3 linked regions of the Drosophila melanogaster genome follow. The protein of the gene in region 1 interacts with the protein of each later gene in a pairwise test. Each region holds a gene or a part of one and is shown in the gene's direction. Other genes may lie near its edges.

Evidence for each region.
Region 2: the proteins of APP-BP1 (region 1) and Mlc2 interact in a two-hybrid assay, tested with the Drosophila melanogaster proteins (one large-scale study listed by BioGRID).
Region 3: the proteins of APP-BP1 (region 1) and Alas interact in a two-hybrid assay, tested with the Drosophila melanogaster proteins (one large-scale study listed by BioGRID).

The regions. Positions count from the first base shown.
Region 1 is NT_037436.4:11,096,592-11,100,346, forward strand, and holds the start of APP-BP1 (beta-Amyloid precursor protein binding protein 1), read left to right. Parts: upstream 1-1,820; 5' UTR 1,821-2,093; coding exon 2,094-2,161; intron 2,162-2,218; coding exon 2,219-2,383; intron 2,384-2,439; coding exon 2,440-3,085; intron 3,086-3,151; coding exon 3,152-3,485; intron 3,486-3,547; coding exon 3,548-3,755. Other genes in the region: CG33947 (uncharacterized protein), read left to right, coding at 422-470, 1,501-1,550; Irbp18 (inverted repeat binding protein 18 kDa), read right to left, coding at 1,051-1,281, 1,409-1,519. UniProt on the Drosophila melanogaster protein: Regulatory subunit of the dimeric Uba3-APP-BP1 E1 enzyme.
Region 2 is NT_033777.3:30,172,850-30,176,604, reverse strand, and holds the start of Mlc2 (myosin light chain 2), read left to right. Parts: upstream 1-2,053; 5' UTR 2,054-2,118; coding exon 2,119-2,121; intron 2,122-2,790; coding exon 2,791-3,033; intron 3,034-3,192; coding exon 3,193-3,615; 3' UTR 3,616-3,755. Other genes in the region: CG1983 (uncharacterized protein), read left to right, coding at 20-88.
Region 3 is NT_033778.4:23,962,812-23,966,566, forward strand, and holds the start of Alas (aminolevulinate synthase), read left to right. Parts: upstream 1-1,960; 5' UTR 1,961-2,073; coding exon 2,074-3,316; intron 3,317-3,460; coding exon 3,461-3,755. Other genes in the region: Fmo-1 (Flavin-containing monooxygenase 1), read left to right, coding at 249-436, 496-682, 735-906, 964-1,499, 1,564-1,731.

The DNA.
Region 1 (3,755 bases):
CAGCCAAATACAACAAAGCAACGCTGTAAAAACTGAAAACACATTTCAGTTTATTTCGCCTCGTGCCATGTGAGCAACTTCAAATTGATATTGAATCGGAATCAGTGTGCGGGTGGTGCTAATTAGCGGAAGACGGCAATTTATTGAACGCGAAAAAAGCCCCACAATCCAACTTCCATTTCGACACGAAACCAACCACCCGCCAAATCAAATCGCCGTCGAGTTGTGCATCAAATGAATGTGCGAAAAGTGCAGTAAATCAATGTTTTTGTGAGTGTTTGAAAGAAGAAGACGGAAGGAGCGCCCACAACAAAAGCAAAGAGAGCAAGACCTAACGGGACACCCGAAACCAAAAACCTATCGGCACAACGACACTTTCTCAATAGCTATAGTTTTAGTTCATATGTTCATATCTCGGAAAATGGACGAGGTCTTTAGCCTACACATGGAGAAATTGGACGTTTACGACGGTTAGTATCTAATTTGCCGGAAGTTCTACTTAAACGTAGAACATATGTATATGATGGAATCTGGGTTGTATTTCTGATTAATGAGTTCATCAACTTTCAAGGAAATAATAATAGTAGTAGTAGTTGTAAACAGCTGAAGTATTGGGTATAAAATAACACTGATATGGGTAAAATCATAATAGACACTTTATTTGATTCAAGACTCGCATGATTTTAGCTGTATGAATCATGTCGAAAATAATAGAAATCACTATTACTAAATATAGATAATTTTAAAATTTAGATTCAGTGCAACATGGATACAGTGATTAAGTGTTACAATATAAACAAAAGTAAAAGAAAAGTACAACAAAAACAAGTATTTGGTGAGAAATGATAAAAACTCACCAATAATGAAAACCATTTATGTAGGATTTTAACAAACACTGTTCTCGTCTGCATGAGTGCTTGTCTTTGTAATAGAATTCGAGCAATTGCACCATTTTAATCGAAAAACTAAGATGATACACATGGTTAACAACCATGGGAAATGGCTTAAAAGTATGAAAATATAAGAAGGTAAATCAGGAGAAGCTCCTCGTTAGTCATTGTCCTTGGGATCGGGATCTGGTTCAGCGAGAATCTCCTGGATGATTCGATGGCCGTCCTCCGTTTTCTCACCCTGAATGATCAGATCTCTAAGCGTAGATATATGTTTTTCACTCGTCTCGATCTGAACCTTAAGAGCATCGTTTTGCTTCCTCAAATCATCGATGCGTTTCTTACGTTCCTCGGCCGATTTCTTGGTCTTTTCGCGTGTGCGCTGAACAGCCTGTTCCGAGAATAGTAATAAATCAATAGTGGGCATCTATTTTTGGGGACTTCTGGGGGCCACGGCGCCACAGCAACATGTTTCCCAATCTTTGCTCTCTGTTTACATCCAAAACTCTTAAACTTACCTCATTGTTTTTCTTTCTTTTTTCTTTGTACGCTGGATCGTCTGTGTGCGGACTTAATGGCGAATCGCTATTTTTGCTGGTCGACGCGGCAGTTCTCTTTTTGGCCGGCATTATCTCCGTGATAATACTGATATTTATTTAGTTCAAATTGGATCGCAATCGGACGGAAATGCAGAAGAAAACACAGCGATGTATGCGTTGTTTTGTTGTGAAATTACACGATAAAACAGCTGTTCATTAGCCCTCCCAGTGTTGCAAAATGCGCTGCCTACACTGCCCAGCCAACAAACAGTTAGCGGTATTATTTAATTAAATTAATTGCATGTTGAAAATCAATATTAAAACTCACCCAAAACCATAGCCATGGAATGCTATTCAAAAACTGTCAACCAGACACTTTATTTGGTTTGCTCAGACTTTCACTTTTTAATTTCTCAACTGTTTATACATTTTATTTGTAAAGACTGATTGCTTGTACGTAGATGTAGTTTAATGCAATAAAATTAAATGAAATGTAATACGTAATAGTCAATAAATGTTTTAAATAAGCAACAGTTAAAATTACCAACGTGTTTTTTCCAACACTCCACCCAATAAACAAATTGTGTCAGAAGTATTGGCTGCCGGCGCTTTACAGTACTGGATTATTTGCAACCGGCTTATTATTGCACAAAAATCTAGTGAAATGTCCTCGCCAGCCCCCAAATCGCCAGAGCTTTCGGATAAAAGCAAGAAATACGACAGACAAATCAGGTGAGGAGCGTTTTAATTGATAAATTCGGAAGCATAGCACTGATGACACCTATTTAGGCTGTGGGGAGAGCATGGACAGACGCTATTGGAGGCAGCCACAGTATGTTTGGTGAATGTTACGGCCGTCGGCTGTGAAACTGCCAAGGGACTGGTGCTACCCGGTATCGGAGGCTTCACTGTGGCCGATGGCAGCACCGTCAAGGAGGAGGATCTGGGCAACAAGTCGGTAGACCATCACACATTCCCTGACCACCATTATAAAGTCACTTTTTCCGTAGTTTCTTCCTCGATTCCAGCTATCTGGGCAAATCTAAAGCATTGGCTTGCATGCAACTTCTCCAGGAACTCAATCCCGACGTAAATGGCGATTATGTCGACGAGAGTGCCGACTTTTTATTAGCCAACAGACCGAACTTCTTCGACAGCTTCGATTTAGTGATTGCCTCCAATCTCAATGAGCAGACTTTGCTTCTCCTGGCCGAACGGTTATGGGAGCTTAACGTTCCATTAATCTACTGCCGATCGCTTGGCATGCTGGGCACAATACGCTTGCAAATACGGGAACACTGCATCGTGGAGGCGCATCCGGATAATCGACAGTTTGATCTGCGTCTGGAGCATCCATTCGATGCTTTGCGGGAGCATCTCGACGGCACCGAGGTGACCAGTAAGGTGCCCTGGTTGCTGGTTCTTCACAAATACCTTAATGTGTGGCAAAAACAACAAGCGGATGGGACTCAAACGCCTCGAAATTACAAAGAGAAGAATCAGTTGAAGGAGACCATTAGAGAGGAGATGAAGGCGGATGAGGAAAACTATGAAGAGGCCATCAAGGCGGTCAATACAGCCTTTGGAGCGGGACAGGTTCCCAAAAGCCTGAAAGCCATATTCGAAGATGATGCCTGCGAACAGTTAAACAAGAAGGTTGCCCATATAATCTGAATTTATACGTATACTTTACTTTCATTTGTTTTTCTTTTTTTTTTACAGAGCAACGTCTTTTGGATCATGGCCAAGGCCCTAAAGCACTTTGTGATACATGAGAATGAGGGCCATCTCCCTCTGCCTGGCGTTCTGCCGGACATGACTGCCAATACGGACTCCTATATCGCCCTGCAGCACATCTACCGCCAACAGGCGCTGCAAGACGCCGACCAGGTGTATCACAAGTGCCAGGAGTACCTTAAGCAGTTGGCTTTGCCTGCCGACAGCATTGATGAGAGAAGTGTGCGTCTCATTTGCAAAGAAGCAGCCGGACTGGCGGTCATAAGGGGTACACGCATTGCAGAGGAGTACGAGAAGAGCAGTCGCCTGCTACCACTGGGTAAAGATCTATCTATCTATTTTGGAACAACCTTAAATGACTTACCTTTCCTTGCCTTCCAGTTGAGGACAACGAGCTGCAGGGCAACCTCACGGCATACAACTTTGCGCTGCGCGCCTACGAGCGCTTCCTCAGCGAGTGTGGCAACATTCCCGGCGAGTGCATCGTTGAGCAGGACATTGGACGTCTGAAGAGCATTGCCGCCAAGATGCTTAGCGATTTGGGAATGCACGCCACCATCAGCGATGATGTTCTGCACGAGATTTGTCG
Region 2 (3,755 bases), on another chromosome or scaffold:
ATCGAAACTATTCCCTCAGATCGAAATGGGCAGCACAGTGGTGCGCGTTGGCTCTTCTATTTTCGGCCATCGGGCGGCCAAGGTGTAAGAAGGGGAGCGGAGCAGAGATGTGATAGGAATGCGTTGCGGGCACTGAATACAGCCGATTCCCAATGACGTCCGACCTCACGACTGAGCACCTCCAAGTTCGCTCATGTATCAGGTGGAACTGGGTATATTCACACAGACTAACGTAGTAAATCAGCAAATCAAAGATGATTTGGCGTTTAAATTTAGAAACCCTTGAGATAAACAAATGTTATGTGTAGGCTGTTATTTGCCTTATTTAATTGTTAACCCTTTATAAACAATGCTTCCAAAGTGTCAAAACCATTAATATTCCCAGAAACATTCTGCACCTTGGAAAATTGAATACATTTGCCGCAGTTTTCATTAGTTTTAACATTCCTTCGACTGCGTCTTGCTCGTTTTTTGCACTTTGTTCTATTTTTACATTCGCGTATATTCAATGCTACTTTGCGTATTAGATTGTGGGCAGTTTTCCTCTATATCTTCTTGTTTTGGTTGGCCCCAGGCCAAAATGTCGCCTGGTTACGTGCCAAAATGGCTGCGCCATGAGAGTTTTCGCCGAAAATCACTTTCAATGGAGCACGAAGATGACTGCAGCCTAAATCGATTTTCATTATGTCTGATCGATGAATTATGAAGGCTTTCTCGCACGGATCCCATCGTTAATTGAGATATTTTCCGTTTCATAAATTTGCATAGAGCCTTCATTAATTATAATATTAGCCAGCGAGGGTAATGAATTCAGGTGGCAAAGATGACCTCATGTAAATATTGTTTTGAAAAATGTTTTGGCTTATTTCCTTCAGAAAGCAAAAAGTCGAATAATTTGCAGAATGAATATTTCTAAAAAAAATAGATGTAAACTATATGAATAATAATATTTTGTAACACTTGAAACTAAATTGAAATTTCCTGCTTATTTGGAAAACTAAAAATGTGTAAATAAGGCTTTGAGAATCCAATTTGTCGATTGAAGTTGTCACAATTTTACTATTTATTTACTGAAATGGCTTAAATAGCTTGAATACTGCAGTGTTTAATATTTTTAGTAACAAGGTTAATGTATCATGACGTGGTACCCAAAGTTTATCTGAAATGGAAATCCTACAGCCTTCCCATTGTTATGCAATGTCCATGGATGACTAGCATATAGATAAAGTCAGATGTTTATTCCACATTTGTTGCCGAAATAACTCTGGTCCAATATCGGGTTCGTTGGATATTTATGCGACACGAAATCCGCCCGATCGCCGTGTATGTATATACAGATCTATAGATTTGGAATTCTCGGCGCTCTTCATATTGCACAATGTGCGGGGCATTTCGAAAACAGAAAAAGGAACGTAGGCGAGCAAAACATCGAGTATATAGGCGTGAATAGAATACATACATATGCTATATGTTGGCATATATGTATGCTGTCCGCCGCCAAGGAAAATGTAGGTGATTTCAGCGCAAGAGGACACCTTTCGGAGGTGGCCTCTGGCAGAGAGACGCACCGAGTAGTGAAGCAGAGCAAAATAAAAGAAAACAAAACAGAATCCGAGGATGGGGAAATGTATCCACAACAGAGAGCCGCTATATGAACCAATCCGAATCGCCCCGAAATAAATTCCGAACATATGTATAGGCTTCTGCTGCCCAAAAGCCAAAGCCAAAGCAATTTCTCTGCCTTTAAAATTAGATTTTTGATTAGAGCAGCGCCCGATGGATGAGTAAACACCTCGGATACAGCTACACCATAGGCTATAGGCTATAGCCATGGCTATATCTATATAGTTGTAGCTGCCCGCCCCCGCCGATCTCCTGGGCGGACCTCGCCTTGCAGATACTAAAAAAGGCAGCACGAATATTGCAGATACGGATACAGCGAATGGCGCCCGAAGATCCCCGAAGGTGGCCGAACCTCCACGAGCGGCCCCAATGCTTGGAAGAAGAAGAGCTCCTCCGAGCTCTTAAAACATCATTGTCTTGGCGATAAAATCAGCCAGAGATTCAGTGTGCTCTGACGGCTCGACTCGATTAGACAACACATCAAAGTTCAGCACCATGGTAAGGACTCGTCCCGGAATATCACTACAATCCAACTGAACCGAACTGAACCGAACCGAATCGAACTGGACCCCAGTGCCTGGATATATGCAGCAAGGATAATGCCGATCAGTGCAGTGAATCGTTTGCATTCGAGAATGACCCCGAGGATATGAATATGAAGTGAACCATAACTCTAAATCATGGTGATCCCGATTCACCTTCTTCACATACGCAGTGAGAATAGTGCAGAAAGTTCTATAAATGGATCGATCCGATCCGAGTGTTACGCGTCAGTAATGTAATCTGATATCCGTGCCGGGGAGCGAGCGAGACAGCGAGTGGCGCACGGCGGAGAGCTTACGTAATATGCGTCCGGTATATTTTTAGAATGAGTGGAAAACTTTCGCCTGCAGATACATATTTTCTGGCCTAGTCGGGTAGGCCTTTTGAAAAGCATACCTTACATCCCTTAAATCCCTATTAAGGGATAACTTTCTACCCATATAATTCCAATTGAAGATCCTTCAACGCGGATAACTTACTAAGATCCCTAAAACGAATAGTATAACTTCCGGAATCGGAACTTTCAAGTGACAGCTAAAGACGGACTATAACGACTAATGACCGAGTAGATACCCCCTTTCTGCCACGAGTCCCTACTAATAAATCCCTCTTTTCTCTCCTCAGGCCGATGAGAAGAAGAAGGTTAAGAAGAAGAAGACCAAGGAAGAGGGTGGTACTTCCGAAACCGCTTCTGAGGCCGCATCCGAGGCAGCAACCCCGGCACCAGCTGCCACTCCTGCCCCGGCCGCATCTGCCACTGGTTCGAAGAGAGCGTCGGGCGGATCCCGTGGCTCCAGGAAGTCGAAGCGCGCTGGCTCCTCGGTCTTCTCTGTGTTCTCCCAGAAGCAGATCGCCGAGTTCAAGGAGGTGAGTTTTGGGCGTTACTCATATATCGCATCATATGTCGGATCACTCGAGACCCATCCCATCATCCTGTCATCCTACCATCTATCGCACTTGTCAAGGACCAAGTCACCAACACACTCTTTCTTTCTATCTCTCTCTGTCTCTGTGCGGGATCGATAGGCCTTCCAACTCATGGATGCCGACAAGGACGGTATTATTGGCAAGAACGATCTGCGCGCTGCCTTCGACTCCGTCGGCAAGATCGCCAACGACAAGGAGTTGGACGCCATGCTGGGCGAGGCCTCGGGTCCGATCAACTTCACCCAGTTGCTGACCCTGTTCGCCAACCGCATGGCCACCTCCGGTGCCAACGATGAAGACGAAGTTGTTATTGCTGCCTTCAAAACATTCGATAACGATGGTCTCATCGACGGTGACAAATTCCGCGAAATGCTCATGAACTTCGGTGACAAGTTCACCATGAAGGAGGTTGATGATGCCTACGATCAGATGGTGATCGACGACAAGAACCAGATCGATACCGCCGCCCTGATCGAGATGCTCACCGGCAAGGGTGAAGAGGAGGAGGAGGAGGCCGCCTAAGGCACATCCGATCACATCCTAACTTCTAACTCAACATCCATTTTACAGCCAGAATCAGAACGTTAAATCAATCAGTCAAATCAGTAATAATAAACGTAATTAAAAGAAACGCTCGTTTACATATGTAGATTCTCAGTATC
Region 3 (3,755 bases), on another chromosome or scaffold:
ATTGCGAATGCAAGATACTCTCATTAGACTTGCATAATTTTACTACTTAAAGGCCTCAGCGAACCTCTCAATGAAGTCCAAGTACCCAACTTTTGCAGGGCTATCAGGCGGGGAAGCCAAAGAGCTCATCACGGTGCGATCCTCAGTTTCGTGGAGGCAATCGGCGTGTAGAAAGCAATCCCGGCCTATCTCACTTAGGATCGCAGCTAGCAATTAAAATTAATATAAGCTGTAACCAATACTGTAATATGATGAGCGTTTGCATAATTGGGGCCGGAACCGCGGGTCTTTGCTGTGCCCGCCATTCGATTGCAAATGGGTTCGAGACCACTGTGTTCGAGCTATCTGACCGAATCGGCGGCACCTGGGTTTACAATGAGGCAACAGGGGCGGTCAATGGCATCGATGTCCACAGCAGCATGTACAAGAACCTACGGTACGTAAATCTTTCGAAAAACCATTTGATATTCTAAGAGTTTCCGGGCCTCTTCAAAGAACCAACCTGCCCAAGGAGGTAATGGGCTTCCCGGACTTCGAAATCGGGGCAAACGAGGCTTCCTATGTGAGATCCGACGAGATCTGCGACTTCCTTAACCAATACGCGAACCATTTCGACCTGAAGAAGCACATCAAGTTCGATAGCTATGTGATTCGAGTTTTGCAGAGGAAAACAAAGTGGCAAGTAAGTCGTGGAGTCAGCTTTATATATAACCACTTAACTGAAACGTTTGCAGGTACTTTTCAAAGACTTGGTCACCAACAAGATAGAGTTCCAGTACTTCGACAAGGTCTTGGTGGCCAATGGCCACTACCACACTCCGAATTATAGCCAAATTCCGAATATGGAAAGGTTTAAAGGGCAGTTCCTGCACAGCCACGACTTCAGAAGTAGGGAGGTTTTCGAAGGTAATTAAGGAATAACTTCTATTAGGTTATTTCACATGGTGTTCCATTCTGCTCAAGGTAAATCCGTTCTGGTCATTGGAGCTGGTCCCAGTGGCATGGACCTGTCGAACATCATTTCCCGAACGGCGGATCGGGTCACCATAAGTCACCACTTGACCGATATCGGGCAACACTCATTCTTCGAGAACGTACAGCAGAAACCCGATGTGCGGGAGCTCGATGAGAAGGGAGCCTTTTTCGTGGACGGATCGTACCAGGAGTTCGACACCGTCTTCTTTTGCACAGGTTACAAGTACGCCTTTCCCTTCCTGACCGTCGACTCGGGCATCTATGTGGAGGACAACTACGTCCAGGAGCTGTACAAGCAGTGCATCAACATCAGGAACCCATCCATGGCTCTGATCGGACTGCCGTTTTACGTTTGTGCCGCCCAAATGATGGACATCCAAGCGAGGTTCATCATGAGCTACTACAACGGATCCAACGAGTTGCCGTCCACGGAGGATATGCTCAAGGACACCCGCGATAGGATGGGCAAACTGTGGGCGGAGGGACTAAGAAAACGCCATGCCCACATGCTGGGTCCCAAGCAAGTGCGATGCAAGTTGGCTTTACTTCTCTATCTGGTTATTAATTCTATTCTCATTTATTATCAAGATCGACTATTTCACGGACTTGTCGCAAACTGCAGGAGTTAAGAACATCAAGCCTGTGATGACCAAATTGCACAACGAAAGCAGCAAGTGCTTCAATGAGAATTTGCTCCACTTCCGGGAGGACAATTTCGCGATTCTGGACGACGAGACATTCATTAAACTCAACTAGATCCTGAATCAATCAATAGGAGCATTAGATTCCAAAACATCGTTTTTGGACTTCCCTTCGAAATAAAATAAATTTCCAATTCTTGTATTCCAAAACAACAGTTTAAAAAATGAGCTTTTATTCTCGAACAAAAACTTTTTGAACACCGGCAAACATTTGTTTGAACATGTTTGTTGGTATTTTTCCAAACAGCTGATTGCGGGCAGCGCACATTCACCAGCTCTGGCCACACTCGCCCGCCTCCTCGCAATCACCTTCTTGCATAATTTTCGGAACACCTCACTTCGCTTTCAAAGTTCGCTGATTTAGGTCGGGTCTTCAAAAGTGGAATAGCGCCTCGTCATGCAGTGTCCGTTCTTGAACCGCTTCACCGCCAGCTTCATCCGCAACTACGCGGAGACGCTGTGCCAATCCTACGGGAGCCACTGTCCCGTGGTTGGGAAGACCTTGGTATCCGGCGAGAAGAAACTTTCACTCGTCGCCGCAAGTGTTACAAGGTCTCACTCGACGGGGGCGAACGCCCACGCCAATGCTGGTGGCCCCGCAACTGCCAACGCCACCGCTCCCGTCTCCGCCCCCGCCTCTGCCGATCCTGGCAAGGCATCCGCCAAGGAGACCTTTCCCTACGAGCGCTTCTTCAACGAGCAGATCATGAAGAAGAAGCGGGACCATTCCTACAGGGTCTTCAAGAAGGTGAACCGCCTGGCAGGCGACGGGCTTTTCCCCCACGCCCTGGAGTACTCGGAGCGGACGGAAAAGCCCATTACGGTGTGGTGCTCCAATGACTACCTGGGAATGTCCGCCCACCCCGGCGTCAAGAGGGCCGTCCAGGACGCGCTCAATAGGCACGGATCGGGGGCTGGCGGCACCAGGAACATTTCGGGTAACTCTCTTCACCACGAGCGCCTCGAGAGTAAGCTGGCTGAGCTCCACCAGAAGGAGGCTGCGCTGCTGTTCACGTCGTGCTTCGTGGCCAACGATTCCACTCTCTTTACGCTCGCCAAGCTCTTACCTGGGTGCGAGATCTTCTCGGACGCAGGGAACCACGCTTCCATGATTATGGGCATACGGAACAGCGGGGTTCCCAAGCACATCTTCCGGCACAACGACGTGGACCACTTGCATCAGCTGCTGAAGCAGACGGACAAAAGCGTGCCCAAGATCGTCGCATTCGAGACGGTACATTCCATGACGGGGGCCATCTGCCCGCTCGAGGAGCTGCTTGACGTGGCCCACGAGCACGGGGCCATCACGTTCATCGACGAGGTGCACGCCGTGGGATTGTACGGTGACCACGGGGCCGGGGTCGGTGAGCGGGATGGTGTGCTGCACAAAATGGACATCATATCGGGCACCCTGGGCAAGGCGTTCGGTAATATTGGTGGCTACATAGCTGGCACCCATAACCTGGTCGACATGATTCGGTCGTATGCGGCCGGTTTCATCTTCACCACCTCACTACCGCCGACTGTACTGTGTGGCGCCCTGGAGGCCGTCAATATCCTGGCATCGGAGGAGGGTCGCCAGCTGCGCCACTTGCACCAACGGAACGTCTCCTACCTGAAGAGCCTGCTGAAGCGAGAAGGTAAGACGTAATTCTGGCATTTATGTAACTCGAATTGAAGGTTATTCTCGCACTTTCGTTTTATTTTAAGTGATGGCTATAAATATAGAAAGAGACACTTAACTTTCAGTTTACTGACTGCATATATAATTGGCCCCATTTCAGGTTTCCCCGTCGAAGAAACGCCCAGCCACATCATTCCCATTAAGATCGGAGACCCTCTGAAGAGCAGTCAAATCTCAAACGTGCTGATCGAACAATTCGGACACTACCTGCAGTCGATTAACTACCCAACCGTCGCCCGGGGCCAGGAGAAATTGCGGCTGGCCCCCACCCCGTTCCACACTTTTGAAATGATGAACGCCCTGGTTACCGATCTAAAGAAAGTGTGGGAAATGGTGGACCTCTCTACAAACGTCCCTCTTTCGCCCAACGCATGCATGTTCTGCAACTCGGAGAG